Cricetulus griseus: one gene and its partners. The protein of the gene in region 1 interacts with the protein of each later gene in a biochemical or structural test. Links are inferred from orthologs where the notes say so. Each region holds a gene or a part of one and is shown in the gene's direction. Other genes may lie near its edges. The genes, in order: Hdac5, Zbtb16 and Sik2.

Region 1 (10,190 bases):
GGCTTGGGCTGCACCCACCCCCAGACAATATGCTTCCTTCTCCTAGATCCTCACCAAGACTGGGGAACTGCCAAGGCAGCCCACCACCCACCCCGAGGAGACAGAGGAGGAGCTGACAGAGCAGCAGGAGGCTTTGCTGGGGGAGGGGGCCCTGACCATGCCACGGGAAGGCTCCACAGAGAGCGAGAGCACCCAGGAAGACCTAGAAGAAGAGGAGGATGAAGAGGAGGAAGACGAAGACTGCATTCAGGTCAAGGATGAGGAAGGCGAGAGTGGTCCCGACGAGGGCCCTGACTTAGAGGAGTCCAGTGCTGGTTATAAAAAGGTACCTCCCATGCACTTGGTCTCTACCGACTGTCCTTCAGTCTCCAGTGGTGCAGTTGCCAGGCCTTGAGCAGCTTTCTAAAGAATAGGAAGGGGAGGAGAGACCAGGAGGGAGTGGGAGGGGGCTCCTGTATGGTCCCTGAGCTGTACCTGCCTGCCAGTCTCCCTTTGTGGCTGCCCTTGTCTCTTAACTGCAGTGTGCTTGTGCGTGTGTGCATACACATGGCTCTGCGTTCGTGCCTGTGTCGGCTGGTTGTGCGTTGGTCTCTGCGTGCATGCGAGCTTGTGTACACACACGCCCCCACTGTTACTACAGTGTGCCTTGAGCCTAGCGCGCTCCATTCATTGCGGACACAGCCCCAAGCCCTTAGGCCTGACTCATCCCGCCCCCACCCACCCCCGTCCCTCTCAGCCTCTTACCTCAATGCTACTATTTGGAGTGACTCATCACATCCCCCATCTTCTCCATCTTGCAGGAGATGGCAAGGCTGCAGTGTCTCCTGTCCCTGGAGGGAGCAAGTGGGAGGAGGTGGGGGAAGGAGGAGACTTGGGGGCCCTCTGCAGGCTGAAAGGACCCTGTACCCAGTCCCATCCAGGCTGTGCCTTACACAGGCTTCTTTCTACTCCTTTCCAGTTGTTCACAGATGCCCAGCAGCTACAGCCCCTGCAGGTGTACCAGGCACCCCTCAGCCTGGCCACTGTGCCTCATCAGGCCCTGGGCCGCACCCAGTCCTCACCTGCTGCTCCTGGGAGCATGAAGAGCCCCCCAGACCAGCCCACTAAGCACCTCTTCACCACAGGTAAGCCCCACCACTTCCCGTTCCATCCTTTCACCATGCACCAGGGGCTTGGATGTATAGCATCCATGGACCTGCGTACACACTGCATGGAGGGGAAAGGAGTCCTCATATCTCCGTGTGCATCACAGCTATTCATGGGAGCAGCAGCAGCTTCTCTCCAAGCAAGAGGGTAGGCAGCTTTGCTCCTACTCCCGGGGGCAGCGTTGTCTTCTCTGTGCCCCCACCCTCCACCTAGGGCACCTGCTTTTGCACCATCATCCCACAAGTCCTAGAGCCTTGGGTGGAGAGTCCACTGCTTCTTTTAGTTCTTGCCCTTCTAGCCTCCTGGTCTCCTTCCTCCCTGTGGGGTTGGCAGTGAGGCCTCAGTAGAACCCAGAAGGCCTTTGCCCATAAGGCTGCCACATGCTCGGTTCTGACATGGCACAGACTTACTGACTGTCTCACCAGTGGGGAACAGAGCATGGGCAGACATGATGGGGAAAAGGAGGAAGGTCCCATGGGGACGGTATAGGGGATGCAGAGGACAGAGATTGGGACCAGCAGCAGCCAGGCTGGGTTTGAAGAGGAGAGAGGGTATGTAGGTGAGTGTTGGTGGATAGTCAGAGATAGTTACTAGGACAGGATGTGCAGTAGGGTTCAGAACAGTTGTGGCTGACACAAGGGTCTGTGGCCCAGGTGTGGTCTATGACACGTTCATGCTGAAGCACCAGTGCATGTGCGGGAACACACATGTACACCCAGAGCACGCCGGCCGCATCCAGAGCATCTGGTCCCGGCTGCAGGAAACTGGCCTGCTCAGCAAGTGTGAGGTGAGGGAGCCCCTACCTTCAGCTGGGAATTCCATCTGAGTGGTGCCTTCACTGCCCTTCCAGCAAAGCCTCTCCCATGCCCCAGCCCTCCAGTCAGTCCTGAGACTTTCCCAGTTCCATCCCTTGTGGTCTGCTTCCCTCAGGGTCCCCAGATAACCTGGGAAAGAGTCCTGGAGTGGGGTCTCTCAAGGGCCAAGGCATAGTTACTCCACATCCTTTGGCTCTCCTGGAGGTTGGCTCTGTGAGCATTGGGCTGTAGTTGTCAAGCAAGTCGAGCCTTGTCAACGCTCTCTGGCCTCTCTTGACCTCCCCTGGCAGCGGATCCGGGGTCGTAAAGCCACACTGGATGAAATCCAGACAGTGCACTCTGAGTACCACACCTTGCTCTATGGGACCAGCCCCCTCAACCGGCAGAAGCTGGACAGCAAGAAGCTGCTTGGTGAGCTGCAGGGCATGTTCCCATGTGTGTCCTCAGTCTGAGTGTGATGGGGCTGTCATGAAGACCACCAAGCCAGAGTAGACAGCAGTCCTAGTGGGGTCACACCCCAAGAGGGTGTCTTTTGCCTAGACGCAGATTGAATATACTGGGCATCAGGCATAAAGGTGGACTTGGTGGTAGTGGTCTGTGTTTCTTCCCAACCTGTCATGTCCCTACTGTTTGCCTCCAGAGATAGGTCATCTCCCCAGAACAGAGGATAGAGGCTCTCAGCTGGCATGGACTGCATAGCCCATGCCAACTGGCAACTGGGACACCTTTTAGAGCATCTCTGTCCCTCTTTCCTTCAGGGCCCATCAGCCAGAAGATGTATGCCATGCTGCCTTGTGGGGGCATTGGGGTGAGTTGAATATGTGTGATTGGAGTGGGCAAGTGGCTCCCCCGGCTTGGCTCCTTCCTCCCTGCCCCCATGGCTGCTGGCCTGCTCTCTGGTGCCCACTCCCGTTCCTCCCCTCCCCCTGCAGAGGGCACACTGAAGCCCGATCTCCTGCCCCCGCAGGTGGACAGTGATACTGTATGGAATGAGATGCACTCCTCCAGTGCTGTGCGAATGGCAGTGGGCTGCCTGGTAGAGCTGGCCTTCAAGGTGGCTGCAGGGGAGCTCAAGGTAAGGATATACTTGTGGCCTCCATGCCCCTTGCCTGGGTCCTGTGTCTTCAGGAGCAGGTGCTCAGGGGAAGCACTGACTTCCCTTCATCAAGACATTGTCCTTTGCAACTTTAAAGTCTTAGTGCTAGGATGGGGAGAAGCTTGAGGGACAGCCATGGTTTGAGGGCCATGGGGAACCAAGTAGGCACTAAAGCCTGAGAGACAACTGTTTCCTGGGGGCCTGTAGTTGACAGTCATAAAAGTGCATTTCTGTGTTCCCATCCCTGCCTGGCTTGTGCTTCTCTCCTGTATCTACCCTGCCCCTGGCTGCATGACTTTCCTGACAGTTGCCCTTCTGCTTGTACTTCAGAATGGATTTGCCATCATCCGGCCCCCAGGACATCATGCTGAGGAGTCCACAGCCATGTGAGTACCACTCTGCCCTGACCCTGGCCCTCTGCCATCAGCTTTTCCTCTCTTTCACTGGAAGCAAACCTCACATCATTCAAGCTGACCTCCTTGCCCTCTCTTCCTCCCCACACCCCTCAGGGGATTCTGCTTCTTCAACTCCGTAGCCATCACAGCTAAGCTCCTGCAGCAGAAGTTGAACGTGGGCAAGGTCCTCATCGTGGACTGGGTAGGCAGCAGGCTGGGTGCCTGGGCAGGGATGGGCAGGGCGGTGCCAGGGAAGGCCTTCAGAAGCGCCTCCAGGCGGCTCACTCCACCTCTGGGCGGCAGGCACTTAGGGCTCACTGGTTGGCTTCACATGTTGACAAGTTTGTATCCTTCTTGCTTCATCATCAGGCCAGTGCTCTCATTCCAGTAGGGTGGGTCCTCCCTGGGGGACCCCAGTATGTTCTTAGCCTCATTTACCTTATCTTCCCCTAGCAGCATCCAACATCCCGATGATGACCTACTCTGAGCAGCAAGGACAGGGGTGGTGCTACTACACTGTCAGACCCCTTTCCCCCTTTGCCCTTACCCTAGGGGCTGCTGAATGCCAGAAAGCTGACCCTGTGCTGCTCATAGCCACCTCTGGCAGTGCAAAGTAGCCCTCCACTTCTTTAAGTGAGGAGGACACTGTTGGGTTACTTAGCAAGGATGCCACACCTCTGTTCCTGAGGCTGTGGGCGTTCCTCAGCCTCCTGCTGTCATGGTGGGGAAAGGGCACAAACGGCTCACTGTGCTTGAGGAATCACTGGGCAGTTGATCAGCAAGGATAGAATTTTTGAAATCCAATTTTGATCTAAAATCATGTATTCAGGTATGGTGCACAACTATAATCCCAGCACTTAGGAGACTGAGGCAGGAGGATTGAGAGTTCAAGACTAGCCTGGACTACCTAGTGAGACTACCTGCCTCAAAAGAAAACAAATTCATGGAAATGTTGATCCTTCTGAAGAAGGATCCTGGGATCCTTCTTCAGAATCTATTTGCCTGTGTTAAATTCCTTGCCAGCCTGACTTTCCCTTGCACGTCAGTGAAATGGGTTCTGCAGGGAGATAAACCATATTCATCCCATGGCTCTAGAGCCTGGACTCAGGGTCGCAGTCCTGGAGCCACTGGTGGGCTCATCTTGAGAGCTAATGGGAGGGTGGGTGGGGAACAGGTGGCATGTGAGCCTTTGGATTAGAGCTTAGACTGGTGCCCAAAGCACCCTGCACTTACCCCCATTAGGACATTCACCATGGCAATGGCACCCAGCAAGCATTCTACGATGACCCCTCTGTGCTCTACATCTCCCTGCATCGCTATGACAATGGGAACTTCTTTCCAGGCTCTGGGGCCCCTGAAGAGGTACAACCCCTGGGCCTTCATGTGAGCCCTTTTGGGAGGTAGCATGCTAGGATCTGGCAGGAAGCCACAGAAGTCCATTCATAGTGATGGCCCCTGTGGCATTCTTGGGCTCCTAGTGGGAGGACCACACAGATCTGACTGCTAGTCAGGGAAAACAGAGGTGGGGTGTGGGGGGGGGTGGGGTAGGGAGCAGTGTTTGGGATCCAGGGCAGTGATAGTGACCTCTCCTACCTTATGCCAGGTTGGCGGAGGGCCAGGCATGGGGTACAATGTTAATGTGGCATGGACAGGAGGTGTGGATCCCCCCATCGGAGACGTGGAATACCTAACAGCCTTCAGGTGGGGACTGAGAAGAGCCAAAGGAGGTGTGGGACCCTGAGCTGGCAAGGGCAGCAGGCACTCAGTTGGGGTGGCGGAGGGGTATGGCCTCAATGGAGAACAGAGCATGGCAAGGCTCAGCCTGGCCTCTGCTGGCATTAGCTTGGGCCATCCCTTTACAGGACAGTGGTGATGCCCATTGCCCACGAGTTCTCACCTGACGTCGTCCTAGTCTCCGCTGGGTTTGATGCTGTCGAAGGACATCTGTCTCCACTGGGTGGCTATTCTGTCACCGCCAGATGTGAGCCTACTAGGGGTCTGGGAGGGTGTGGAACACTGAGGCACATGGGACAGGGAATAAGTTGACACTGCAGGGAGTAAGTCTAAGACTTTAGTAGCTCTACCCACTCATCTGCCAACCCCGCCATGGGCCCAGCAGGTAGAAGTGGAGTAGCAAACAAAGTATCTTCCACTGGAGCTCACTGGCCTTGACCTACCAGAAACACAACTCATCTTAGCCTGTCTCCGTTAAGTTCACTGACATTTCATCTCATTGTAGATGCACTGGGGCTGAAGTCTGCTGTCCTACCTTTTTTCTCCTTCTTCTCTTTGATCCGATTTATCACTTATCCTTTGCTCTTTACTCCCATACAAAGGTTTTGGCCACTTGACCAGGCAGCTCATGACACTGGCAGGGGGCCGGGTGGTGCTGGCCCTGGAGGGAGGCCATGACTTGACCGCCATCTGTGATGCCTCTGAGGCCTGTGTCTCGGCTCTGCTCAGTGTAGAGGTGAGTGGGCCACACAGACGTGGAACAACAGGTGGGATATCCACCTCACGGGCTCCTTGAGGTTTGCCTAGGTCTGAGAAATAGTTGGCCAAGGAAGGCTGATTAGGGTTCCTCCCAAAAGCCTGTGCTTGCCAGTACAGGACTGTCTGGGCTGAATGGGGATAGTTGGAGAGCTAGGCAATTGCCCCTAACCCCACTCTAAGCCTGCTCTTCTTTTCTCTGCAGCTACAGCCCTTGGATGAAGCAGTTTTGCAGCAAAAACCCAGCATCAATGCAGTTGCCACACTAGAGAAAGTCATCGAGATCCAGAGTGCGTGGGGACAGGCAGAGGGGCTCATACCTCAACCTGCCAGGCAGGCGGGGCACATGGGGAGTGGGGTACCAGGGCTAGCAGGTATGTCTAGACCAGTCTGTTCTCCCTGAACCTGTCTGTCCCTTTTGCACAGGCAAACACTGGAGCTGTGTGCAGAGGTTTGCCACTGGTCTGGGCTGCTCTCTGCAGGAGGCTCAGGCAGGTGAGACTGAGGAGGCCGAGACTGTGAGCGCCATGGCCCTGCTCTCTGTGGGCGCTGAGCAGGCCCAGGCTGTTGCCACTCAAGAGCACAGCCCCAGGTAAGCATCTCACCTCCCATCTCCCTGCCCTGGGTAAGGTAGTGAATGCTCTCTACTGAGTCCCCTCCCTGTGCTTGTCCCCACAGGCCAGCAGAGGAGCCCATGGAGCAGGAGCCTACCCTGTGACACCCTGGCCCCCATTCCTCTGGGCTTCATCATTGCGATTTTGTTTATTTTTTCTATTAAAAACAAAAAGTCACACATTCAACACCGTGTGCTGTGTGGGTCTCTCAGACTTGCTCTTCCAAGCTGCTTCAGCCCTCCTACCACCAACACATGGTCCATGCCCCAGCTTTAGGAGTCCATTCCTGCTGTGAGGGTTGGGTGTAGCATTCACTTCTCTGAGATAGCGTTGTTATCTCATGCCCAAGTCTCTGTACTCTTTTCTACGTTGGACAGTACTCTGGGCAGAACCTCCAATTCTGGAGCTACTTGTGATGGGAACAGTAAGTTGGTGCCTTGGCTTGGGCTGGCTTTTGGGAAATGCCTTAATAACTTCACCTCCACACCCCCCCCCCCAACACCCACCTCCTCAGGAAGATTCACTACTACTTAAGACGAAGAGTGGAGGAGGTTAGGCTTCTACCCTTAACTCCCCCTTCCTCTCTGTCCTCAGCATTCTGCAAACCCCCTCCTCTCTGGATTCATGCAGCACTGCAGACTTGTGCCCAAGATGTGGGCCTTAGATTTGTGGCCAGATTTCTTGTTTCACACTCCCAGGACCCCGGAGGGTTACAGGGTGACCCGCAGCTGGGTTGGGGCGGGCAGGAGGACCTGCATACACGAGCAGGTTCTCTACTTTATTCTGTTGACCTTCCTGCCTTGTGCTGGCCCAGCATAGGGAGAGGAGAAGCTAGACTACGTGGGGTCTTCAAGTTCTTGCAAGCAAGCCCCTTTGATGTTCTGGACCAGATTTCCTTCAGCCATCAGCCTGCTGCAAGTGAAAGGATCAAGACTCAGTTTCCTTCTGGATTGTTTTTGCTTTGAAGCCTGGGTATGGTCAAAGAGGTGGCTCTAGAATAGACAAGGCCAGAATCCTCTGCCCAGAAGCCCAGGGCAGGGCTCTCAGCATGAGGGGGTTAGGGGCTGTACATCTTCTTTTCCAGTAACCTGTGTTCAGAGGTTGCAGCCCACAGGCTTCCAGTGAGCGTGGTCTACCCTGTAGGAAACCAAAGATGGGACGTGGCACCTAGGGGGCCAACTCCTATACCACATTCTCTCCTTCCATCCCAAGAGCCCAGCAATTTGTTTACATACTATCCTGATGGGGGCCTGAGCAGGGTTGAGGGAGCTACGGAGTTATTAGTTATTAGTGTGTCTGTGTGCTGATCATCCTTGCACTGAGCCCAGGGCTCCAGGCCTCACTTTCACCATGGGCTGGTCTTATTCTCATGTAAACCCACTCCTGCTCTGTCCCCCTGGACATGGATTTTAGTTAAGTATTTTGTATCATGCCACACTGTGTGTCCTTGTGTAAATACTGGGAATAATGTCTGTTCTCTGGGTTCCCACATGGAGTAAAAGTGCTCATTTCTTTCCTAACCAAAATGCTGCCTTTTCTTCAGCCTTGGACTAGAATTCTGTCTGAGGCAGTGTGTGTGTGTGTGTGTGTGTGTGTGTGTGTGTGGTGCGGGGGGGGGGGGCTAGGGTGGGAGATTCCTGTTCTCCTGGGGGAGTGTCCACTGGATTGTTGCCATCATATCTCAAGAGATCTCTGCTACGGCCTTGTCAGGGAGGAGGGGTGAGGACTCAGCTGACTTTTCAGCCCCTGTTTACTTTGTCTTTGTAGGGGCCGGAGGCTCCATTGGTGCACATGCAGTTCATGCAGGCAAAGTCAACGGAGATGTGAGCATAGGCAAGAAAGGAATCCACAAGTTTCAAGAGCTTTATTGAGACTTTCCTGAGCTGCTTGTCAATGTCAGGAACCCAGCACTCCATCCCCACCACACCTGCTGGTTGCTTCTGCTTTTGCTTTGTGGGGACCCTGGGGGAAGGCAGGAAACAGCCTCCTTGGGAAACAGGTCCTTTTAAAAAAGGGGCTAAAATTACAGAACATGAGATAGGAAATGAAGTTCCCTGTGAGCCGGGCCAATTTTGGAGCCCAGGAAAAGGACTGCCTTTTAGAGTGTGGTGGTCAAGGAGTGTTGTCTTTGGGCAAGAGAGCGGCAAGGGAGGCAAGAGACATCAAGAGGAGTGAATGGGTGGTGCTTCCTGGACACTGAATGTGTGCACCAGCCAGGGCACAAGGGCCAAGACCAGGCAGGGCCAGAGGGTGTATTTGAGGAAGTTGAAGATGTAGAAGAGGCTGATCTGAGGTGGGTGGCCCAGCCATTCCAAGATGACCAGCAGCCCAATGGCCAGCAAAAAGCAAGCTATCTTCTGGCCGTTTCCCAGGTATGCCCGCCGTATCTGGCCATAACAGGGAGAGTGTAAAGCAATGCCAAGACCCAGGGCAGTTCCCGAGACACGGCTCAGTGAGGCAAAGGGTCGACTGTCCAAATGCACCCACTCGGGCCGCTCACACCACTTGGAAGCCAGGCTGATGGACCTGTGAGGAAGCAGAGTCTTAACCAGGAGAGACTGGAATCCAGACAGCCACTGGCTCCTGGCTGTCTTCCCTTGGGGACCTGCTCCCATGTATTGACTCCACATCTGTCTAGGAACAGTTCATGTGCCCTTTTATAGCTACAGTGAATCAGAGACCTACCATCTAGATACAAGGTCCAGCTGCCCAGACGCCAAAGCAGGACTTACCAGGAAAGATCCAGGCCCAGTGTAAAAAGAGTCCAATACATGAGGCTGGCACCCAGCATAAGGGCCAGAGCAGTCAACCCATAGAAGCTAAGTTCCCGTTCCATGGGCACATGTGGAGCCATAAGCCAGCCAAGCACAGCACCTAGAGGGATGTAAAACTGTTACTAGATGTTTGAGGAAATGATCTACCCCTTTCATCCAGGCGGGAAAACAAACTATGACAAAGGCGGGGACCTTGAGGTTGGCTCTACAAAAGCTGGGAATGCTGGGAAGTTTCTAGACTGGTCCTCCCACTGCCAAAGACACCCTCTTGGCCCACCCTGTTACCCCAGTTGCTCACCAGTTATAAGGCCTGCCAACACCTGGTGAGGGAAATGTGCTAAGAGGAAGACCCGAGATAGGCCGACTGCCAATAAGAAGGTGCAATAAGCCAGGCTAGGAATCACCCTTACCCAGGGGCTAGAAAGAAGAGAGACAAATGGCTCAAGGGATGAACGTGGCTTTGCTTTCTTCAGCATCCAAATACTTCAGAGTCTGAACCAACACCCCCAGGTCACAACAACTCTAGTTCCCAAACTAATATGCTGTGGAGACTTTGGGGTTCAGAATACTGCTACTGGTGGACAATAAATACCATGGTCATACCTTCGGGACCGAGATGCCACCTGAGAAGAAATGGCTGTCATTATAGGCCAGAGAGCTGCTCCCGTGATCATGCAATGGCCAGAAGGGCTGCCTGCCGGGAGAGCCAGAAGTTCATGGTGAAACAATAAAACCCAGGTGCCCCTGGTACAGCTTTCCCAATACCAGCCGATCACTCCCTCTGAGACCTTTCTCTCAAGGTCACCGTTCTCAGGCTTCTGCCTTGCCATGTGCCTGGCTTTACTATCTATGAGGTGACT
Region 2 (10,594 bases), on another chromosome or scaffold:
AAGTCATCCAAGGTGCCACTGCTAGGGTCAGCTTACTACAGAGTCAATAAAGCAACGCATGCTTGTCATTGTGCAGGGCTTCCAAGAGTCACCTTCCAGGTTGTTCACTGTACAAGGCGTCCAGCTGAGGAAGAGGTGGAGATTAAAACCTAGCTCTTTCTTACTAGCCAACAATGAGATCTGTTGTCTACCCAGAGGGAGGAGACGGGCTTTTCTAGTCTAGAGAAAGGCATCATTTAGGTTGGCATTAGCTCCACAACTAACCACTTTGTGAAGATCTTTCAAGCAGGTATCTCATTTGCTGTTCTTGGCAACCACAGCAGTATGGAAAAGGGTGAACACACACCCAGGGAAGTTAAATGGCTGGCATGGGATCCCAAGGCAATGGAAATGGCTTTGGGAACCAGAATCCTTGCTCCTTTTTCCTCTCTCCATCTCACTGACCATGATCTCTGGAGACTATCTCCAGAGAGTCAGAGTCCACCTCCTTCATGATGGGACTAGCTCTGATTCTGATTGTTGCCTCCGTGGAGGATGGAGCTCAGGCGGTGCAGACAGTGGAGTATGCTAACGCAGCGGGTCCCTTGCCCTGCCACACATCTCACCGCAGCTAATGAATTGCTAATACAATTTTCTAGATAATTTTATTTCCATAGCCCCACATTTTAATGTGTTTCCAAAAGCTAGCATTTATTTGCTTAATCTCCCAGTGTAATAGAATCGGCCCTGACTCATCATACATGCAAACAATCAGCTAGGCAGAAACGACAGCAAATTGTTTAATAACTCACATCTAGTCTTTAGATTTTTAACTTGCACGCTCCAATGGTTTTTCTTGCGTCTCAGATACTCTTCAATCCTTCCCTGGTTTTCTTTTTCTTTCTTTTTTTTTTTAAAGTCCTTTTCTTTGACCATGAATGTTTGGTTTTCAAGCAGAAGAGTGGGGAAGGTAGACACAGAACCTCTAAACCCTCTTTTCAACTCCCCCACCCTGAGTCGTGGTTGGTGGATAAGTGGCCAAGGAGGGATCTTGTGCTCATGTGAGGTCCCAGGCAGGAGAGAGAGAGACATCTGGGGCCACAATATTTCTTTTTAACTGATAATCATGTAACCTTAAATCTGTCAACAGTGTGCAGAGCTAGCCATTGGGGATTTTGTGGGTACCACTTTTCCCAAATAGAGCCCAGTTCCTATCAGGCCATTCTCTTCCTGTCCAGAAAACCTCTGGCCTCATCTGGTCCCCACCTTCCTTGTAGTAGCACAAAAGCTGTTAACCCCCTCTTTCTGCTTTCAGCCATGTGGGACCATCCACACCTTGGCTACCTAGAGAGACACTGCCCACCAGGCTGTTGGACACTTGTACCCGTCTTCAGTCAGTTTGAGTTGCTGTAACATGTCCCAAAGGCTGGGCAGTCTGAGATAGGGATTCCAGCATGGCTGGGTTCCCAGGAGGTCCCTCTTCCTAGTTGCAGACTGCAGACTTCTGACTGTGTCCTGTGTCCTAACTATGAAAATGGATCCTTTTTTTATAAGGGCACTAATCTTGTTGAGGAGGGCTCCACCTTTGTAATAAAAGACTTGGTAAAGCCCCCACCTGTTAATCACTGGGAGGATAATGATTTTAACATACTCATTTTTGGTGTGAGTGAGAGGACACCAACGTCTAGACCTTTGCCATCCTCTAGTCCTTCTATGGCCCTGCTTTGCCTGTAGGATGGCATCTGTACTGTTTTTCCTGGCACATGTGATGATCTGACCTCCCAGGTTTTCCTGGCTTCTCTCCATCCTCTGTTCTACCTGCTCTGAAATCCATCTGGAGTGTTTCCTTAGCCAGGGACGGGTATCTCATTTCCTACATTTGCTTCTCAGATGGACCCCATTTCTCAGAACAGAACTCAAAATCTCTTCTGAGGCTTTTGCAGAGTCACCCTTGTCTCACCCATGCTCTGGGTGGTATTTCTTGACCGGTGCCCTCCACCCCAGGCTTGATATCTAAAATTCTCTGCTCCATCTCAGCCTCTTGGTGATCACTTGGTAATGGGGTGAGACAGGTCAATGGACACAAATCAAGTTCAGGCCATTCTGTGAGATGGAGGTGACCCACTAGGGAAGCCTCCAAGCATCTTAGGAACAGCAAGGGGACAGAATGCCACAGGAGACTCAGTCTGCTCCTCTAGGTGGTGCCTTTCCGGGTGTCCTCCTGGAATGCCATTCATTCACCCTTGTTTTCTATACTGGGGATCTCAGAATAAGAGTAAGATGTCTTGGCTGGTAAAAGGCCCGGCTGTTCAAGAAGCCTGCTCCCTCAGGCTGATTTGAGGCAGCTGTTTGAACACCTGGCCTAATTGGGGCCTTCTGTGGGGTAGAGTCCAGGGTACAGAGGGTGCAGGTGCTGGGAACCCTCAGCTTAAAGAAGCTGGGACTGATGTGCTGTGTGTTAAAACGTGTTGTGGGTGGACTCTCCTTGTGTTTACCAGGCTTGCTTGGACACTGAAGGACTCCGTGTCAGTCCTCGAAGCTTCTGCCAGGCAGACTGCTTCTCTCAGCATGTCTTTTTCCATCGGATGGGGCTGAGGACTTAAGATCTCTCCCAGAGATCTCACTGGCTCCCTCCTGCTGTGCAAGTATGAGGACTTGCATTTGGATGCCCAGCACCCACATAACAGCTAGGCATGGCTGTGTGTGCCTGTAATCCCAACACAGGTAGTGGGGACAGGCCAATCCCATGATTCAATGGCCAGCTAGCCTAGCCAAAACTGTTCAATGAAAGATCCTATCTTGATGAAATAGATGGAGAGGCATCCTGATGTCAACCTATGGCCTCCAGCAGTGCCACACACACAATACTCTCTCTCTCTCTCTCTCTCTCTCTCTCTCTCTCTCTCTCTCTCTCTCTCTCTCTCTCTCTCAAAAAAAAATAAAGTAAAAATAAAGGGAGTCTGATCAGTGATTTCTGGAATCAAATAGACCAAGACATTTCTAGATTCCTGATTCTACCTCTTTGTCACTGTGTGACCTTAGGCAAGTTATTTCATCTCTGTTTTTCTCTTTGTAAGAAGGTAGCTATGAAAGCCCACCCTACAGGGATGCAAGTTTTAAATGAGATGACTGCACAGATAAAGCACCTAGCTAAAATGGCCTTTATTGTCTCTCCTTCCATTCTGTCCTCAGAGCTTTGGAGGACATTTTCTCCCCCCATGCAGCCCTCCTAGTTATTGGTAGTTGAAGCATGGCTGCAGGTACTTAGACTTCAGTGTCCACAGAGAGGGGCCATCAGGTAATTGTGAGAAGAGAGAGGATGGTGATGAGTGGTGGTCCCCACCTTTATTCCAAACTGAACCATGTATGATCCTGAGGAGGCAAGAACAAGCCCTCCCATTGGCCCTAGCTCTTTCCAGTCAGGGAAGCAGCAAGGCTCTTCATTGTCCCATCCCTTCCTCTCTCACCTGCCCCTGGAAGCTTCCTCATGTCCCCACAAAGCAGCCCAAATGCTCTGACACTCCCTCCATTTGGACTAGACTGACAGACCTGACCACCTTTTCTGTTTGTGTCCCTAACACGAGGGACAGCATTATGCTCCTGAGCACAGGCCATGCTGCCCAGACACTGGCAGAGAGACAAGCAGAAGGAGCTGATGTTCTTGGGGAGATGAGATCCAAAATGGCAGACAAGGAGCTATGAGCTGAGACTGAGCTGGAAGGCTGTAGGTCCAGTGTAACATCAGGAAGGGGTTAATGAACAGAAAATAGCAATCTGCCTTTGTGGGGTTCAGTGAGGCCCATGGGCTACTGGTCAACCAGCCGAGTGGGAGGGCAGAACTGAACAAATATCTCATGGGACTCATTAGTTTTAAATCCTTTGACAACTTCCCATTGGTCTTATGATGAAACTGGCATGGCTGGTCAGGACCCCACAAAATCTGGCTCCCGGCTCGTCTTTAACCTCTTCTCACCTTCTCCCTCTTTCCACAGTTAGGACTTGTCATCCCTACTCTACTTAGTTTTGGCTCCCCTAAGTGTTCACAGACTCCATTCCATCCTCTTGTATGTTCTCTTGGTGCACTGGGTGCTGAGTGGTATTGAGATTAGAGCAGGTATACCAGTATGCTTTTCCATCATCACAGCCCTCAAAGAGAGTCTTCCTTGTAGAAAGTATCACAGCACTATTTGTGGAATGAAGTGGCTCTCGAGATTCCTGATTACCTAAATGAGAAAGTGGTTAGAAGGATGTGTTCACCAGGCGATGGTGGGGCACACCTTTTGTCACAGCACTGGGGAGGCAGAGGCAGGAGGATTTGAGTTTGAGGTCTCCTGGTCTACAAAGCTAGTTCCAGGACAGCCAGGGCTACACAGAGAAACCTTGTCTTTAAAAAAGAGAAAGAAGAAGGAGGAATAGGGGGAGGAAAGAAAGAAGGAAGGAAAGAAGGAATGAACAAAGGGAGGGAGGAAGAAGGAAAGAAAGAAGAAAAAAAGAACGTTGTCTACAGCTAACCTCAGGAAATGAATGAATGAATGAATCCCTCCACTGCTCCCAACTGCAGATTCTTTGGAGATTGGAATGAGTTAGTCTACTGTGCTTCTCTCTCCTCAGATGAAGTTTGTGGTTTTTAGAGAGTTACATTAACAACAATGGCCAACCCGTATGATCCAGGTTATTGTTGGTTTTCACAGGTTCTACCTCATCTTCCCACCCCTGTCTCAGATACTATAAATTTCCTGTGATTACAGGCACCCAGTCACCCACCTTCTCCTACATTGGACTCAAGACACTTGTAGAAACATGTTTGGCCATCTGTGTGGTTTTGGGTCTTTCTCCACTAATCTTTAGGTCTCCTGGATGCTGGACACCTGTTGGCATTTTTCCCTCTGGAGCTATATTCAGGTTGCTCAGTCAACATTGCATGGCCTGTGCTAACCCTGGGTTTGACTTTGAATTTGATTTCACCTTCAGGGATGAAAATCTGGCCTTGGGTCTCTGCCTTACTGAGGTTTTCCCACTACTGTCTCCCACAGGCACAGACATGGCTGTCTTCTGTCTGCTGTGTGGGAAGCGCTTCCAGGCACAGAGCGCTCTCCAACAGCACATGGAGGTCCATGCAGGCGTGCGAAGCTATATCTGCAGTGAGTGCAACCGCACCTTTCCCAGCCACACAGCTCTCAAACGGCACCTTCGCTCACACACAGGTAGGCTGGTCGGGGGGGGGGTGGGGGGCGGCATCTCTAGACCTTATATCTGTTATATCTGGGTTTAACTTCCAAAATGGCATGGGGGAGGAAGGGGCGTGTTCCAGGTTGAGACATTTATAGCCTTTCTCTACTTGAAGTTGGACACAGAAGGGCTCCCATAGAGATTGAAATGTTAACAGTTCTCCCAACTCACCCCCGCACCTGTAGACAGTCTGTCTGTTCCCGGCTTTCCACACACAGCACAGAAAATATTCATTAAAAAAACAAAAAACAAAAACAACTACCATACTCTTGATTTCTACTCTCAGAAACTGTGATTTAGCGGTCCAGGATGGGCTCTAGATCCCAACACCACTAATAAGTGTTCCCAAGGGATTCTGATGCAGTGGGTACCAGAGTGCATTTTGAGAAAACTGGCCTAACTCTATTACAGTCCCACCACTTCCTCAATCCATCCAAGAATAGCACTGAAGTCAGCTCAGGGCACCAGAAGGCACACTGAAGAACTCATCCTGCCTTCACAACAGAGACAGGGGGCCTCTACTTTGGCCTTAATGTTGTCTAGAGAAGACAATGAGAGTATTTGAACAACAAGCCAAGAGATAGCCCTGTTCAGCCAGTTCACACAATGGGGTGAAAGACAGGGTATGTGTGAGTCAAGTAGGCAGGGCTAGTTGCCCAGTCCTAGCCTATCCCTGCCACTACCCTCTAGCTTTAGGGAATAGGACATCCAGTGTCAGAAGGCCTTGAAGGAACCTTTGGTCTTTTCCTAACAGAGGAATAGATGACTTAATTCCTTTCTTTGCCCTAAAGTAAAATGAGATCATCTCTTACTGTCCCGGGGTGAAAGAATGGCACTTTCTGAATCATATGTGTCTGTGTGTGTATGTTCCTGATCTGTTTTTTGGGAGATCTGGGATTAAATCTCTGTGAAAGAATGTAGCAGAGTACATACACAGGTCTACTAGAGAGGACATGAATTCCCTGCATGCTTCACGGATGGTTGGAAGAATCTCATTCTTCAGAGCCTTTTCATAGCTCGGGTAGAGCGTGTGGCTGGTCCTCACATGGGTGACAGGCTCTGATGAGTAAGTTTTACTCTCAGGGGCTGAGCTGGACTACCTTGCCAGTTGTAGGCATTCTCACCAAGGAGCCTGCCTTGGCTCTAGGTTCTGGATAGCATCCTGGTTAGAGGAGCACAGTGCCATACCATTACCAAATGTGAATGGCCCACAAGATGCTTAGGACTGCCTCAGGCTAATCAGTAGAAAGGAGGAGGTCTTAGCTGGTAAGGTCCAGCAAAAGGAACCAAAGAGAAAGGAGTATACGCTCGATGAGTTTCTCTACAGTATCTGTATACGAATCTCCCTGTAAGATGTAGACACCATCCCATCAATGTCTCTCTCCCTCAGCAGGTCCCTAAGTTCAGTCTTAGGGAAGATGGCAAGCCTCCTTTAGCCACTTCCAGGTATGCCACTGGGTCAAGTCACTTGACTTCACAAGATGTGATGATCCAGGCCCTACTGAGTCCACCCAACATGCAACTTATTTTGCCCATACCAACTTCTCAGAGTTCAGTTAGCCCATGTCATTCCTGCCCTACCCCTGCGTCAGCTATGCTTCAGATCCCCAGCAAGGACAGAGTTAGGGAGAAACCCTTGCTTATTCTAGAAACACAGACATGTGTGCCCCTTGCGCTCACACATTCAAGCACCCATTGATTTTCACACCAGCCCAGCACAGGCTCTGCACACCCCCGACACAATGCCTCATTAATATTCTGTTGTTCTTGGCCCATTTGCTGCTGGGGCCGGTGTTTAGCATCAGCAGCTGTGTTTGGTACGTTAGTCCAGCCATGCTCTTGGCATTGATGGATCCTTGATTCACATGGCTCATCATATAATAAACTCTCAGCTGCACTGAAGGGAGGGACCAAGAGAAAGGGATCCAAGGAGCCCAGGGGCTGGGACTAGGGTGGGAAGGATGACACTGGGCTTGGCCAGAGGTAAGAAAGCCACTATGTAATGACAAACTGGGGAAGAAGAAGGGTCACAGGTGCCTTGGGTAGGCCAGAGGGGCTCTAATTAGTCTCGTTTGTCCTGCACTTAATGTCAAGCTCATTAACGCGTCTACAGAGTTAATCAACATACCACAAATTGGATTTTGACTTCTGTCGCCAGTTTTATGTACATTATGGCCAGCCTGACATGATTAGCTCTCAGGGTGAGGGTTGTAGGTCTGGTAACCATTGAGCTGTAAAACCTGGGTGGGAGGTGAGGGTGGGTATGAGTCTTGATGACTTGTCTTTTTTTCTTTCTTTCTTTCATTTTCTGAATGTGTTTTATTCTTTCCCAGGGCAGACTCAAGAGAGTTCCTATTTAAACTCATTTAACATGTGATCCAGTTCGTAATTAAATTCATAAAAATCTGGTCAAACAAACCCCTCTGCTGTTTGTTAAACTCTTAGGGCCCTCCTCTGGAAGCAAGAGGCACACACAGGCAGCCAGCCCTCCCTCATGGCAGCCCCTTCTTCCTGGGCAGGGGGAGAGGGGGCTGGGTGACTGCCGATGTACGTTTTAATTACCAGCTTCGGCTGAAGTCTCATGTGGCCCTTGCTTTATTTATTTATTTATATCTTAATGAGGATACTGAATCTTTGATTAAAGTCGTAATCGTTGCCGATTCAGGAAGGAGGGGGAGCTAGATGTCAGACCAGACGGGGCCACGTGTGCAGACAGAGAGTCTTATACACAGACTGCCCCCGCTCTACTATGATAGACCCACAGTAGAGTAGCACCTGTGTCAGTGAGGGCTAGCCTCTTGGCTTTGATGGGGCTGGGAACAGGTCCTCGGTATAGTGCTAGTAGTGAGAGACAAGGGTTGGTTTCCCCAGTTCAGAACTCCAGGACTCAGTCCATCTCCAGCTCACTGGTCAGCGAAGCTTCTGACCCGGGACAGTGCCCCAAAGATGGTGAGGACTGGATAGAAGGGATGGTTCTTTGGTTTCTTTAATGGTGCCCCACCCACCCCTTTTGCCCTCGGTGCTTTTTGTTGGCCAGTGAACAGACCACCCAACAACCACTCCCCACAGAGTCTCAGAAACCGTTCCAAGCCATCGGAGGAGGTGAGAATTTATGTGGGTTCAGGGGCCTGCATTCAGGAAGAGGGATGTTTGGTTAGCGGCCCACGGAAAGGAGACGGCAGAGAGAGTAAAATATCATTTTAAAGAGGAAGTGAAGGCACAGGCCTACGAGTCTATAAGGAGAAGGACAATTTATGCCGAGGCACGAGCACAGTTTGACATGGGGATAATGAAAAAACGTAGGTCATTGTGGATGACTTAAGCCTTCAGCAGCTGAAGAGAATGTATGAAATGCGGAGGACATTACACGGTTGGCAGCCTCGCACATCTGCAGAGGAACAAGTGAAATACAGTGGGCCATTCTTTACCATAAACTGTGGTTGTTGGAGATGCAGCCCAGAGAAATTGTAATTACAGTGACAAGACGAATCAGCGATATTTAAATATTCATGAACAAAGTCTGGGGTGATCAATCTATCTTTATTGTCTGCGCCTTCACTCCTGTAATGAATAAGTAGCTCAAGTCCTCACCTTTCATCCCCTAAGCTCGACACCTCCGTTACAGAAATGCAAGGTGGTTAACCCCACTCCCTACCCCCTTGGGCCACAGGGATGGAAGGGTGGAGTGTCCAGGGGAGAAAATTAAACTAATGGACATGATTCTAGGCTGAGGAAGGGCTGGTCTCACAGTCCAGTACCCAGAATTCTCCAAGAGTTGGTTCTGAGTCATTCCTGGGCAAGCACTGAGGGGGGGGGGAGAAACACTTCTAGGTGGCCCTGTTAGTCAATACAATACAATGTGTCACTTAGCCATGTGGTAAGTGACCAGTGTCCAGACCCTGGGGCCAGACCAGAGCCAAAGTTCCAATCTATCTACTTCTAGCTAGGTGACCTTGGGACAGTGGCTAAGTATCTCTAAGCAACTCCCCTGCCCCATTTGTAAAATAAGCACACCTTTCATCAGAGAGTTTCCATGGACATGATCTCTGTGAAGTCTTCAGCTAGCAGTAAGAATATGCCAAATATGGGCAATGTCAACGGGAAAGAATTCTTTTAAACGTATTTCTATGAGTAAAAGACCCAAAGTGTTCAATATTCTTCTCTTTGGGGACAGAGAAGGAAATATAGCTTAGTCTGCCTGAGGAACCAAAGGGAAGCATCCAAATGGAGGTGGTAGATGAGCCGGGCTTTGAAGGATGGCTAGGGGTTCACCAGGGAAAGAAGTGGGAATGAAACAGAGGGATTGTCAGTTAACTGGTGAAGTAGCAGAAAGAGCAGATGACATTTGGGAAGCAAAAAGAAGCTCCCTGAGTCGGAGGGGTATTTTTGAGTTTGGGGAAGCTAGGCTGGAGTGGCCCCTGGCCCCAAACCAGAGGGAAAGGGAGAGGAGGTAGTGTAAGACGAGGTCTCAAAGCCCAGCTCTGTTCCACCCTCACAAGACCCTGCTTCCTGATGGTTGCTGCTCTTTGCTGAGCCAAGCAGGCTTTCTCTTCTGGGACTGGCTGTTATCCCATGGATGGCTTTAGGGCTATAGTGAAATCTGGGTAAAAACACAGGAACCTCTGTTCATGTTGTGGGGACCAGTCAGGTCACCTTTGAAGGTGGTGAGCATAGGCAATCTGAGGACACCGAATGTGCCCTGCTGTCCCTGAAACAGAGGCAGGAGGAAGCAAGGGTCTGATTGAACCCCTTGTCCTTACAGGTGACCACCCGTATGAGTGTGAGTTCTGTGGCAGCTGCTTCCGGGATGAGAGCACGCTCAAGAACCACAAGCGCATCCACACAGGGGAGAAACCCTATGAGTGCAATGGCTGCGGCAAGAAATTCAGCCTCAAGCACCAGCTGGAAACGCACTACAGGGTTCACACAGGTACCCAGGGCAGGGATGGGCCCCAGGCTGGCTCTGGGACTTGGGTGGTGACTGGGAGCAGGTGGTCCAAAGCAGAAGCCCAAGTAAACACAGTTCAAAGTTCAACCAGAGAAAAAAAGGGATAATATGGAGGGATGGCTCGATGGTGTGAGAGTGCTTCCTGTTCTTCCAGGGTATCAGAATTTGTTTCCTAGCACCCTCTTCAGGCCTCAGAAGGCAACACACACACACACACACACACACACACACACACACACACACACGAATACAGAGAGAGAGAGAGAGAGAGAGAGAGAGAGAGAGAGAGAGAGAGAGAGAGATATGGTGGTCTGAGTACCATGATCCTTCTCTCAAGGCCAACGACATTGTCACTAATCAGGTGTGGCAGATATTGGTAACCAATTGCAGCACGTCTCATGGGCCCAGTCAGTCCCCTGAAGCAATCACAACAACAAC
Region 3 (10,594 bases), on another chromosome or scaffold:
TGATTAACTGACATGTGAATTATGTGAATTAGGTCTACTCAGCAGCTGACAGAGATTAAAAGGCAATGTCTCTGAGTTGACTCCCTCCACTCCAGGTTTCTTTGGATACAGTATGCTTCCTCAAGGGATTATGGCTCTCTTATGGCTTTAGTTTCCATGGGGTTTTTCTCACCAAACTTGAAGATGGTTAAACTAACCAGTAAAAGCATTCTGGAAAGATGGAGAATTGTTTGTGGTGCTGGAGACTGACTGCAGGTCTTCAGCGTGTTAGGAAATTCTTCTGCCCCTGAATTACACTTAGGCTCCTCAGCCCTGAAAGAACTTTTCTTTTAGGTCAGTTTTCTGTTTTCCAGACTCATGAAGAGTACCCCAGTCCTCTTGCCCATCCTGAAAGATTGTGGCTGTCAAGGCTCGAGTCTGCCATTTTGTCTTGCTTTTTGTCAGTGTGTTTAAAGAAGATGCTATTTGTTTGGGTAATACCTGTTTTAATTTTTTTTCTACAGGGAAAATTTTCTCTATGAGTGACAACCCCTCACTTGACAGTGTAGACTCTGAGTATGATATGGGGTCTGCCCAAAGGGACCTGAACTTTCTGGAAGACAGCCCTTCCCTGAAGGACATCATGTTAGTTAATCAGCCTTCACCCCGCATGACATCTCCTTTCATAAGCCTCAGACCTACCAACCCAGCCATGCAGGCTCTGAGCTCGCAGAAACGTGAGGTCCACAATCGGTCCCCTGTGAGCTTCCGAGAAGGCCGCAGAGCATCAGACACTTCCCTTACCCAAGGTACGTGCTTTCTTTTCTGGCTTTGAAAACTTCAATCAGAGGCATGAAAGAAGGTTGTTGTCTTGCTGGTGTGAATGTATAACTAAAAGGCCTATTTTGCTTCTTAAACTGTTTGTACTTTATAGGAATTGTAGCATTTAGACAACATCTTCAGAATCTTGCTAGAACCAAAGGTATTCTGGAGTTGAACAAAGTGCAATTGCTCTATGAACAAATAGGATCAGAGGCAGACTCTAACTTAACATCAACTGCTCCTCAGCTCCAAGACCTCTCGAGCAGCTGCCCTCAGGTGAGTGTGCAGGCTCTTCTCAACACCACATTTGTCCTACAGATGTGTGGTTTTCAGTTAGAGAGTTTCCTCCTACTCCTAACTAAGCTGGCTTTATGGGAAAGCCCCAGGTCTCAGAGGTTTTCTTGCTGCTGTCACTAACAGCTTAAATCCAGCTATGTTGCTTCCAGATGCTCAGCACCAGACAGAGGCCTTCAGGATCAGTCTAGTTTTGGTTCACAAAGCAGGCAGATTATATATGGATGACTCAGTCTCCCTTGACCCCCCTCCCACACACACACACACACACACACACACACACTTGATGTTAATGAACGTCAACCAAATGAAAAGCTTCTTGACAAAACTTTTGATGTGAACTCACTATTAAATATGAAGATTAGTCACATTAAAATATAATAAATGTTGCTATTTCTTGAGCCAATGTTCAGTGCATCAAAGATATCATATTCTGGGCCCACATTGTATGTAAGCCCTTCTTGTGATACCAGGCAGGTGCTTTTGTTCTAGTACTGACTAGGTAATAGTTGAGTTATTAGCTCTGTATAGATTCTCTGAAAGCAGCATTCAACCTACTAGTTAGATAAAAGCTTTGGGGTATTAGGTCATATGAAGCCCAGATTCTATTCAGTCATTTGCAAAGGTGCTTGACTATGAATTGAAACTTTCTCACATAGAAATTGAAATGTCCACTGCCTTGATCCTTAGGAGGAAGTCTCTCAACAACAGGAAAGTGTCTCCACACTCTCTGCTAGCATGCATCCTCAACTTTCTCCGCAACAGAGCTTGGAAACCCAGTACCTACAGCATCGACTCCAGGTGGGCTCCTTGGCACTCTTAGTGTAACTCACTTCGTCACAGAAACCCATTTTGCATTATTTAAGGTAGCTGCGTTATTAATTATAAGCAGGTAGATTTAACCCTACATTTGTAGTTTCTAGGAACATGTTCAAACTTAGCTTTATGCCCTCTGATGACAGTAGGAAAGGATATGCCACTGAGTGCTCTAAAAGAGAGATCTGGCTTGTTCTTATTTTATATTTATGAATATACTTATGAATAATAAGATGGGAACTCTAATATATAAAATGCTAACGAGACTGTCTATACTGGTGCATGAAGATCCTAAGAAACGATACAGCATAGATCCCATTGAGAATGAATCACTCAGCAGGCACTGTGGCTTCCTGTCAAGAACTAAGTCTGATTTTCTCACTGTTCTCCATGAACCTCCCTGTCCTGAAGGAATTTTAAAAGTGGAAAACATGTAGGCCAGAACTAGATGCCAAGGCCTGCTGACCTGGTCCTCTTCCAGGGTCTTAGTGAACTCTGGATTCTGTAAGCCACATGTCAATCTACTGTCCAAACAGGCATCCAAAGGGTACACCTCAGCTGCATCCAACTGATAGCATGTATATGTTTAGGCTCTTGTTGCTTTTCTGATCTTCCAGAAGCCTAATCTTCTGCCAAAGGCCCAGAATACTTGTCCAATATATTGTAAAGAACCACCTCGGAGCCTGGAACAGCAGCTACAGGAACATAGGTGAGGAAGTCTTTGGCCAGTAAAGTTAGTTATTTTCATGGCAGTCTGGAGAATGCTGGTGTATGGTCCTTTTCCATTCTAGTTGCTTCTCCGAGGCCCATGCAGTGGTACATGGTCATTTTCTGTTTGGGCATGGTGTTAATGAGGTTGTTAAATCCCAGAGTATAAGCCTGGCAGGCAACAGCGGCCCCCTATACACCTTGTCATGTCTTTGTATTTCTCTGGGATAATATGGTCAGCCCTAAGATTTCAGAAGCAGTCTGTTACACTGAGGAGGCTCTCTCCTTGGTGTGTTCATGCCTGCTGGTCCCACCAGTAGAAGCTGCTTGGTCAAAGTAAAATTGCCCTAATCATCACCCTACCTATACACTCATAGAGGCCAAGATGTTACCTTTTTCTGAGTAATCTTCATGAGTAATTAGCCTCTCTAGAGGGAGAAACTTGAGAGACAGTGCATCAGTGCTCACTTACCTCAGAGCGGCCAGTCAAATAGAGGCAAAACCCAGTGTGGTGAATTTACTCTGATTTTATTCCCCTTGCATGGAAAAGAGAAAGACAGAGATGGGGTGTCAGGTGTGAGGGTGCATCCCTGGAATCCCTAGCACTTGGGATACTAGGTCAGGAAGATCACAAATTTGAGGCCAGCCTAGAGTATATAGAAGATTCTCAGAAATAAAACAGAAAAGAAAGGGAAAGTGAAGTTAATGCCTGGTATTGAATTTACATTGAAATTACATTCCCTTGAGATGTAAAATGCTCTTTTGGTGTTGTCAATTTAGGCTCCAGCAGAAGCGACTCTTCCTCCAGAAGCAGTCTCAGCTGCAAGCTTATTTTAATCAGATGCAGATAGCAGAGAGCTCCTACCCTCGACCAAGTCAGCAGCTGGCTCTACCCCACCAGGAGACTCCACCGCCATCCCAGCAGTCCCCACCATTCAGCCTGACCCAGCCCCTGAGCCCAGTCCTCGAGCCCTCTTCTGAGCAGATGCAATTTAGCCCTTTCCTCAGCCAATACCCGGAGATGCAGTTGCAGCCCCTGCCCTCCACACCCAGCCCCCGGGCTCCACATCCCTTACCCTCACAATTGCAGCAGCCACCCCCACCACCACCACCTCCTCCACCTCAGCAGCCAGGAGCTGCTCCAGCCCCCTTACAGTTCTCCTATCAGACTTGTGAGCTGCCAAGCACCACCTCCTCTGCACCAGACTATCCTGCTCCCTGTCACTATCCTGTGGATGGAGCCCAGCAGAGCAGCCTCACAGGCGCGGACTGTTCCAGGAGCTCAGGACTTCAGGAAGCCCCATCTAGCTATGACCCGCTGGCCCTCTCTGAGCTCCCTGGACTCTTTGATTGTGAAATGCTAGAAGCTGTGGATCCACAACACAATGGGTATGTCCTGGTGAATTAATCTCAGCACAGGAAGTAAGGTGGCTCTAGTGAAGGCAAACTGTGTTTCTATTTTTATTCCAGCCCTTTAAACTTAAGCTTAGTTTTTCCCTTTCCCTAATGGGGAAAAATCAAGTTTTCCAACTGGAATCAGAGTTTGACTAGGGTAGATGCTCCTCCCAGCTCTGTCCCACCACACAATTTTCTGTGGCAAGGGCTAGAACATAGTTGGAGGCTGAAGCCAATGCCCTTAGATAAAGTGGAACAAGCTCTCAAGGGAGTACCAACAAGCGTCTGTATAAAATAACATACAGACCTAGGTTTTACACCAGTTCTCTTCCAAGGAAAACCTTGGTAAAAGCAGGAAAAATGTGTATGTTGTCTACATACACCTAGGGAAAAAGACAAGACAGTATATTTTACTAAAGCCAAGCATCAGCAAAGTGCCTCAAGGCATATCAAGATGTATCATGAAATCTGATGCACAGGGAAGAGAGGGAAGTTATGTGTTGTCACAAAATCATAAGTTCTTGGCTGTTGATATAGGGTGTCCTTAAGACCACTGCACAGTAGTGGAGCCTAAGGAGTGTTTCACAGACACTAAGTAGCAGCTGGTACTGACCCCCTGAAACCTGCAGTCATCTGGGAGCATGTGATAATACCTTTTCAAAAGTGTCCCTGGGTGGCCCAGTGTTAAAATACTCAGGGCTTCAAAGCTCTCGCCTGTAGAGACAGCAGGAGACCTGACACAGTGCAGGCTGAAGCAGAAACCAGAAAGCATAAGGAACTTGGGCCATGAGCTGGGAAGCCAGGCTTTTCCTGCACAACCTCCAGTCTCCAGAGACCTCCTGTCTGCTACACTGTAGTAGTCCCTCTGGCTCTCCACTCTGTTGTTAAGAGCTTGTGGAGCTTTGCATAGTTGGACAATTTCATGTAGGGTTTAGATTTTTCAGGGTACACAAACAATGTTTATGTCCCATGTGAGTGAGTGGTAGTGCTGTGCCTTCCCCCACCTCATCAAACTTTCTTTTCTATAGAAACCAAGGTTTCCATGTCCTTGCTAAATCCAAAGCCACTTCAGTTTGTTTTCCACTGTGTGGGAATCAGAATTCTTAATTTCCGTAAAGTTTTGATTTGTGTGAAATGTTCAAGTATTATAGCAATATTCAAAGAACCACAGATGTGCTAGCCATTTACCAGAAAAGCTTAACCCTTTAATTCACTCATCAGAAGAATTGAAAAATAGATGCTATAGCTAGTCACCTAGTGAGAAGTAATTCTGTCATTTGCACAGTGACATCCAGGTGTTACAAACTCAGTATTATTTATAAAAATTATAATTTCTGTTCTTTAGAGTGGCTTGTCCTATCAGCAGATGAATGCACTAAGCACAAAGCGTCTTCCTTAAAGCACAAGAAGAGAGCTACTACACTGATGCTGCACCTAGAAACACCTATAAGTTGCCTTTCCTCTCTGTAGTAAGTGTCCAGGCAGGCAAGGGAAGACTAGGCATGGGAAGTCTACGGAGAGCCATCCTGGCCACCAGCCCAGCCCCTGCCAGTGCTGGTGATTCGAGCGAGCTAGCATCTTTGAGGCTGGCCAGAGACTGTAGTTGTTGGGTCCCAACTGGTGCTGGGCTGCTTTGCAAATGCGCTCTGCTTGGAATTGGGCTGTGGGTGTCAGCAGGAATAGATAGTAGGAGGGACTGTCATTTTGTGATTGAATAACTGAAAATCCAGTAAGGATAAATTTGTTTCTTTTGTTTCTGTTCCTCCTCATGCTTAAGATCGATGATTTTGTGAGATAAAGAACATCATTTCATTTGAGAGATCATTTCATTAAGATCTCTAATACGTTTTAAAGCTTCACAAAATAAGCCAGCTATAAAATGGGGCTTGATCTGTTTAGACTGGAGGAGGATGTTTTCCCAAAACATACTGCAGAAGCGCTATAATATTGACGAAATGAAAATGCCTTCCAGATTGAAAATGGGGGCCGCTCATTTCAGGACTGCAAGAACAGCACCGCTACAGATTGGCATAAACTCCTGCCCCCCAACAGGGCTGTGAGCTGCTTAGCCCAGGAGACCTAGCAGCTATGGCAGGACAGTTAGGCGACAGATGAGGGGCTACGGAGAGGCTGTCAGAAGGTTACAGGCTGCAGAGAGAAGCCGGGAGCACCCATCAACAGACAGCCTGTTAGGCACTGACACACAGAGCGGAGGTGAGGACAGTCGCCTGGTGAAGAACACGAACCATCATGCTGGATCCTGTCGTAAGCTCCCGTTTGCTCCTCTCACTCCTTTCAAGTAGAAATCCCTCATTCTATGGCTACCTTTATGTCCTGAGATGGAAACTGGTGAGAGCAGATGGTGGTCAGCTCACCTGATTGTTTCTGTTGCTGTCCCCTAACTAGTGACCATGGAAGCTTCCAAGCCATTTCTCCTCCCAAGTACTAAAGTAACACTAAGGAGGCTTAGGCCCATTCTGGCTGAGAGGCAGTTCTGAAATACTGACATGCTTGCCTGTCAGTTCATATCAGCAGTGTGTACACTACTGTATAGTAATAACCCTTAGCTTTGTTATCTTGTAAACCAGCCTCTCCAAAGAGACTGGTGATTCAAACATGAGGTAAAATTTTCATTCGGCAAAAAGTGCAATATGTGTGGTACTTTTTTATTTTTGTTTATGGTCTCTTGTTATCCAGGTTTCACTCTCTGCTTTGGGGGAAATGCATTAGTTCCGCAGTCTCCAGTTGGGCAAGTGTGTCTCTAGTATTTACATGCTACTGACATGCTGGTCCCTGTAAGGCAAATAAAGGGTGTTAATGCAACAGGAAGACAAGTTTCGGGCTCCCACTCCTCTATTCCCAGGGAGCTGCCTGACCAATGCCAGCCCTAACCCTGCCCTGACTGGGCCTGCCTGAACTGCCTTCCTGCTACCTTGGGAACAAACCCTCCAGAATCTACCCAATGGAAGACAAAGAGAACCCAGGAAGAGCCTTTGAGACTGATGTGAGGCTTAAGAGCTGCTCTGAGCAAAGCCCTTACTTTTGCTTTGTGTCCTAGGAAAAAGAAAGCCAGGGTCCCCGCCGGCCTGTGATGGTGCACACCTTTAATCCCAGCACTTGGGAGGCAGTGGCTGTAACATTAGAAAGCCAGGGACCCTCTATCTCAAAAATCAAGATCAGAAGTGTTAAATCCTGAACTGGTGTCAGGGAGGTAGGACTTCAGCCTTTGCCTGCCACACCCCCTCCTAACTTGTATAATTGAGTCTTTACTGTTACAGTGCCCCTACCCCATACACCCGTCAACCCAGCCCATGGAGCAACACCCTCTGCCCTGCCCAATAACTAGGGCACTCAGCAAGGACTCATCATAGGCCTCTCTACCTCTACCCCAGGAGCCATTATACCTAAGGCAGGGATACTAAGGAGTGTGTTCTCAGCTGGAAAGTGACACAGTGATGAGCCAGAAGCTGAAGGAACCCAAAAATTAGCAGCTTCTAGACCAGCTGATCAGGACATGGGGACTCAGTAGGCTGTCCTTACTCTGGGGTTCTTTAGCCTCTAAACAAGTCAGCTTAAATATATGAGGACCAGTCTCTCTGCTGTGCATTACACTTTTACACTCAAATCAACAGTGACTTAAGCTCTCTACTGGTTTAAAGAAAATTCACAGTCGGGTGATTTTTTGACATTCCTCCTCCTTTAGAAACTATATATAGTGTCATTTGATGACACTGATCCCACTGGGCAGTTGCAGAGTCCCTGTGCCAGGGCTGACCTTTGCTGCATTTGTACCCCTAAGCGGGGCTGCATCTACTGCCTCCTTGGAAGCCACTGGAGCCGCTCGGCCTCTCTGTGCCTAGACATCAAAGGTAAAAACTGGAGAACAGGTAGTAAGTTGGAGTCATTGCCCAGGCAGGGATCTTGATCATTTTGTTGCTTCTGGAAATTTTTTACAGAACTTACCTTCAGAGTGATTTGTGGGAGACAAGAGCAGTATCATCAGCCTGTTTCAACACTGGACAAAAACACACTTCAATGCTTACACACACTCACTCTCTCTCTCTCTCTCTCTCTCTCTCTCTCTCTCTCTCTCTCTCTCTTTTTCTCTCTCTCTCACTCACACACATTCTCTCTCTCTCTCTCTCTCACTCACACACACACATTCTCTCTCTCTCTCACTCACACACACATTCTCTCTCTCTCTCTCTCTCACACACACATCTCTCTCTCTCTCTCTCTCTTCTCTCTCTCTCTCTCTCTCTCACACACACACACACACACACACACACACACACACACACACACACACATGCGCGCAAATGGAATGAGACAATGACCCTTAAAGGGCCCTTTTGGCCCTAAAGTCTCTGATCTCCCAACATCACCTCACTTATTTGTTTAGCCATTTTTACCCAGTTACAACAGTCTAATTGATTCTAGAAGACTTCCAGCCTTCATAGTTGCAACCACATCTTATGTCCACATTGTATGTGAGCAGATTTGGGTCCTGTGGCTGCATGGGTTGACAAACAGGTAGGATTACTGCCCAACAGCTTAACTAAGGATGGTTCTTACAGGGCCTGCCCTCTCAGCTTGCCTGTCCGTTTTCACAGCAACATACCAAGCACTTTCACAAGTGCTCTCCTGCAGTTCTCACACCAGTTCTGTGAAATTAGCTAGAGAGATCCGATCTGTATTTCTCACAGCTGAGGAAAGCAGTGCTCTCAAAGGATACATGACTTAGCTATCACCACTTCTGAGCTGTGACCTCAGCTGAGACAAGCACCTCTGTTGCCTGACTTCTGGCTTTGCTCCTTGTTGGAGCCCTGTCCCATAGCCCCTCCCCTTCAGCAGCACATCTTTTCATAGTAAGCAGGCAGCTATGTAAACAAGGCGCTGTCCAGATGGCTGCACCCTCCACCTGACAGCTGCTTGGCTTTAAGTGCCCACTGCAGTTATCCAGGTGACTGCACCAGACAAGGAGCAGGAGACACAGACACCAGAGATTGGCCATCTTGCTGTCCAATAAATCTCAAAAATTTAGGCTTCAATTAAGGAGGTTTGTTTATTCAAAGTTATGTAACCCGTTGCTTTTGTTCAGTATATATTGGAAGGACACACTCCTCCCTGATTGCCAGAGGGCTTTCTTAGTCAACAGTCAACCCCAGAGAAGATGGCTGCCCAGGGAATTGTGAACTCAACCTCTATCCTAAAGGGATGTCGTGTAGAACATTTCTTTCCTTTTTTTTCTTTCCTTCCTGTTTCTTTCCTTTTCTTCCTCCCTTTCTTTTTCTAAATGGTCTTTTGAAACAGAGTCTCACTATGTAGCTCTGACTGTCCTAGAATATCCTGGTTTACTATGTAGACCTTGAACTCAGAGATCAGCCTGCCTCCATCTCCAAGTGCTGGAATTAAAGGTGTGTGTCGCTACCACCCAGCACATTTCCTTACAATTAAGTCCTGACAAGTAGGAAGGCTTATAAAACACTTTCAGGATTACAAAATGTTAACGAGCTTTGTTGATGGAATGCTAGGTCTTTTCAGAACCAAAATGGGTGAGTAGGGGTAGCTTTAAAAATAGAAATACAAGCAACACCCTGGTGGATAGCATAATGTTACATTAGCAAGTGCAGATAACTGATACCTGCATGCCCAGGATTTGCTCAGTTAAGAAAATTCAAGTGGTTAAACATCCCCACTACCCATGGTTTTAAAAAGAAAAAAAGAAAAAGAAAAAAAAAATGCCTCTACCAGAATCTGTGAAGGAGAAAGCAGCAGACAAAAAGGGATGTTGGCTTGCCTTTGGGGACTGCAGTGTTTAAGAAGTCAAAGTGGTAGATGTTACTTGCACTTTGTAGAAAGGCAAGGCCTTTCTTATTCAAAGTTTGCTTATTGCAGAAAGGAAGAGAGTGGTCTTGCTGGATTCAGCTTGGTCTGTGAGTTACTTTCGATAAACTTAACCTGATTGTAGTTATTATTTTTTTTTCTGTGTGCTTTTTAATTACTAAGAAAAAAAATTGGTGACTTTGATAGCTTTGGTATTTTGAGTGCAAATCCTAATAGCTCCACTGTGGAAAATCCAAGTGTAACCTGCCACTCAGTGTTAGAAAATTGCCTAAAATGCAGTTTAATAAATGATCTTTGTACCAAATGGTAACTTAAGTGGAGTAATTTTCTGCAAGGAAAATGTACTGTCTTTATGTTTCCAGCCCTCCTGAATTAAAATAAAAACACCTTGTTTTCTAAAAGCCTGGTGATGTGAATGTCAGGTTAATGAGATTATAGGCAGGTCTCCACCTCATTGAGTACTGGGTAGTTTTCAAACTGGGGAAGGTAGCTGTGTTCTCTGAGCTCTGGTGCTCATTTCAAGCTACAGAAAGGACAGTGGATAATATGTTCTCATTGACGTCAACAGGGTAAATAATACCTCGCCCCAAATTGCCTGAGTGCACGTTAGCCACTACAGATCACTGATGGAAACACTGCTAACCACAGCCTGCATACAGACAGGGCCCCACTGGGCCTGGTCAGTGCTCCTTAATGGTAGTCTCAGGACAAAGCCCATCATTGCAAATAGTCT

The links.
Region 2: the proteins of Hdac5 (region 1) and Zbtb16 form a complex in vitro, tested with the Homo sapiens proteins (2 studies listed by BioGRID). The link is inferred for Cricetulus griseus from reciprocal best matches to the Homo sapiens genes HDAC5 and ZBTB16.
Region 3: of the proteins of Hdac5 (region 1) and Sik2, one has a biochemical effect on the other in vitro, tested with the Homo sapiens proteins (2 studies listed by BioGRID). The link is inferred for Cricetulus griseus from reciprocal best matches to the Homo sapiens genes HDAC5 and SIK2.

What each region holds. Positions count from the first base shown.
Region 1 is NC_048600.1:115,897,898-115,908,087, forward strand, and holds the end of Hdac5 (histone deacetylase 5), read left to right. Parts: intron 1-46; coding exon 47-325; intron 326-958; coding exon 959-1,124; intron 1,125-1,799; coding exon 1,800-1,933; intron 1,934-2,251; coding exon 2,252-2,372; intron 2,373-2,719; coding exon 2,720-2,769; intron 2,770-2,928; coding exon 2,929-3,036; intron 3,037-3,387; coding exon 3,388-3,443; intron 3,444-3,566; coding exon 3,567-3,654; intron 3,655-4,694; coding exon 4,695-4,814; intron 4,815-5,055; coding exon 5,056-5,153; intron 5,154-5,314; coding exon 5,315-5,433; intron 5,434-5,788; coding exon 5,789-5,922; intron 5,923-6,147; coding exon 6,148-6,232; intron 6,233-6,368; coding exon 6,369-6,534; intron 6,535-6,620; coding exon 6,621-6,660; downstream 6,661-10,190. Other genes in the region: G6pc3 (glucose-6-phosphatase 3), read right to left, coding at 8,719-9,082, 9,289-9,430, 9,629-9,747, 9,934-10,024. UniProt on the Homo sapiens protein: Responsible for the deacetylation of lysine residues on the N-terminal part of the core histones (H2A, H2B, H3 and H4).
Region 2 is NC_048597.1:160,433,498-160,444,091, reverse strand, and holds part of Zbtb16 (zinc finger and BTB domain-containing protein 16), read left to right. Parts: intron 1-5,012; coding exon 5,013-5,183; intron 5,184-9,970; coding exon 9,971-10,138; intron 10,139-10,594. UniProt on the Homo sapiens protein: Acts as a transcriptional repressor. Transcriptional repression may be mediated through recruitment of histone deacetylases to target promoters. May play a role in myeloid maturation and in the development and/or maintenance of other differentiated tissues.
Region 3 is NC_048597.1:162,658,524-162,669,117, reverse strand, and holds the end of Sik2 (serine/threonine-protein kinase SIK2), read left to right. Parts: intron 1-503; coding exon 504-788; intron 789-913; coding exon 914-1,077; intron 1,078-1,785; coding exon 1,786-1,896; intron 1,897-2,528; coding exon 2,529-2,620; intron 2,621-3,399; coding exon 3,400-4,008; intron 4,009-5,359; coding exon of another isoform or gene 5,360-5,384; exon of another isoform or gene 5,385-5,791; coding exon of another isoform or gene 5,792-5,807; exon of another isoform or gene 5,808-5,986; coding exon 5,987-6,074; 3' UTR 6,075-6,664; downstream 6,665-10,594. Other genes in the region: Ppp2r1b (serine/threonine-protein phosphatase 2A 65 kDa regulatory subunit A beta isoform), read right to left, coding at 7,825-7,890. UniProt on the Homo sapiens protein: Serine/threonine-protein kinase that plays a role in many biological processes such as fatty acid oxidation, autophagy, immune response or glucose metabolism.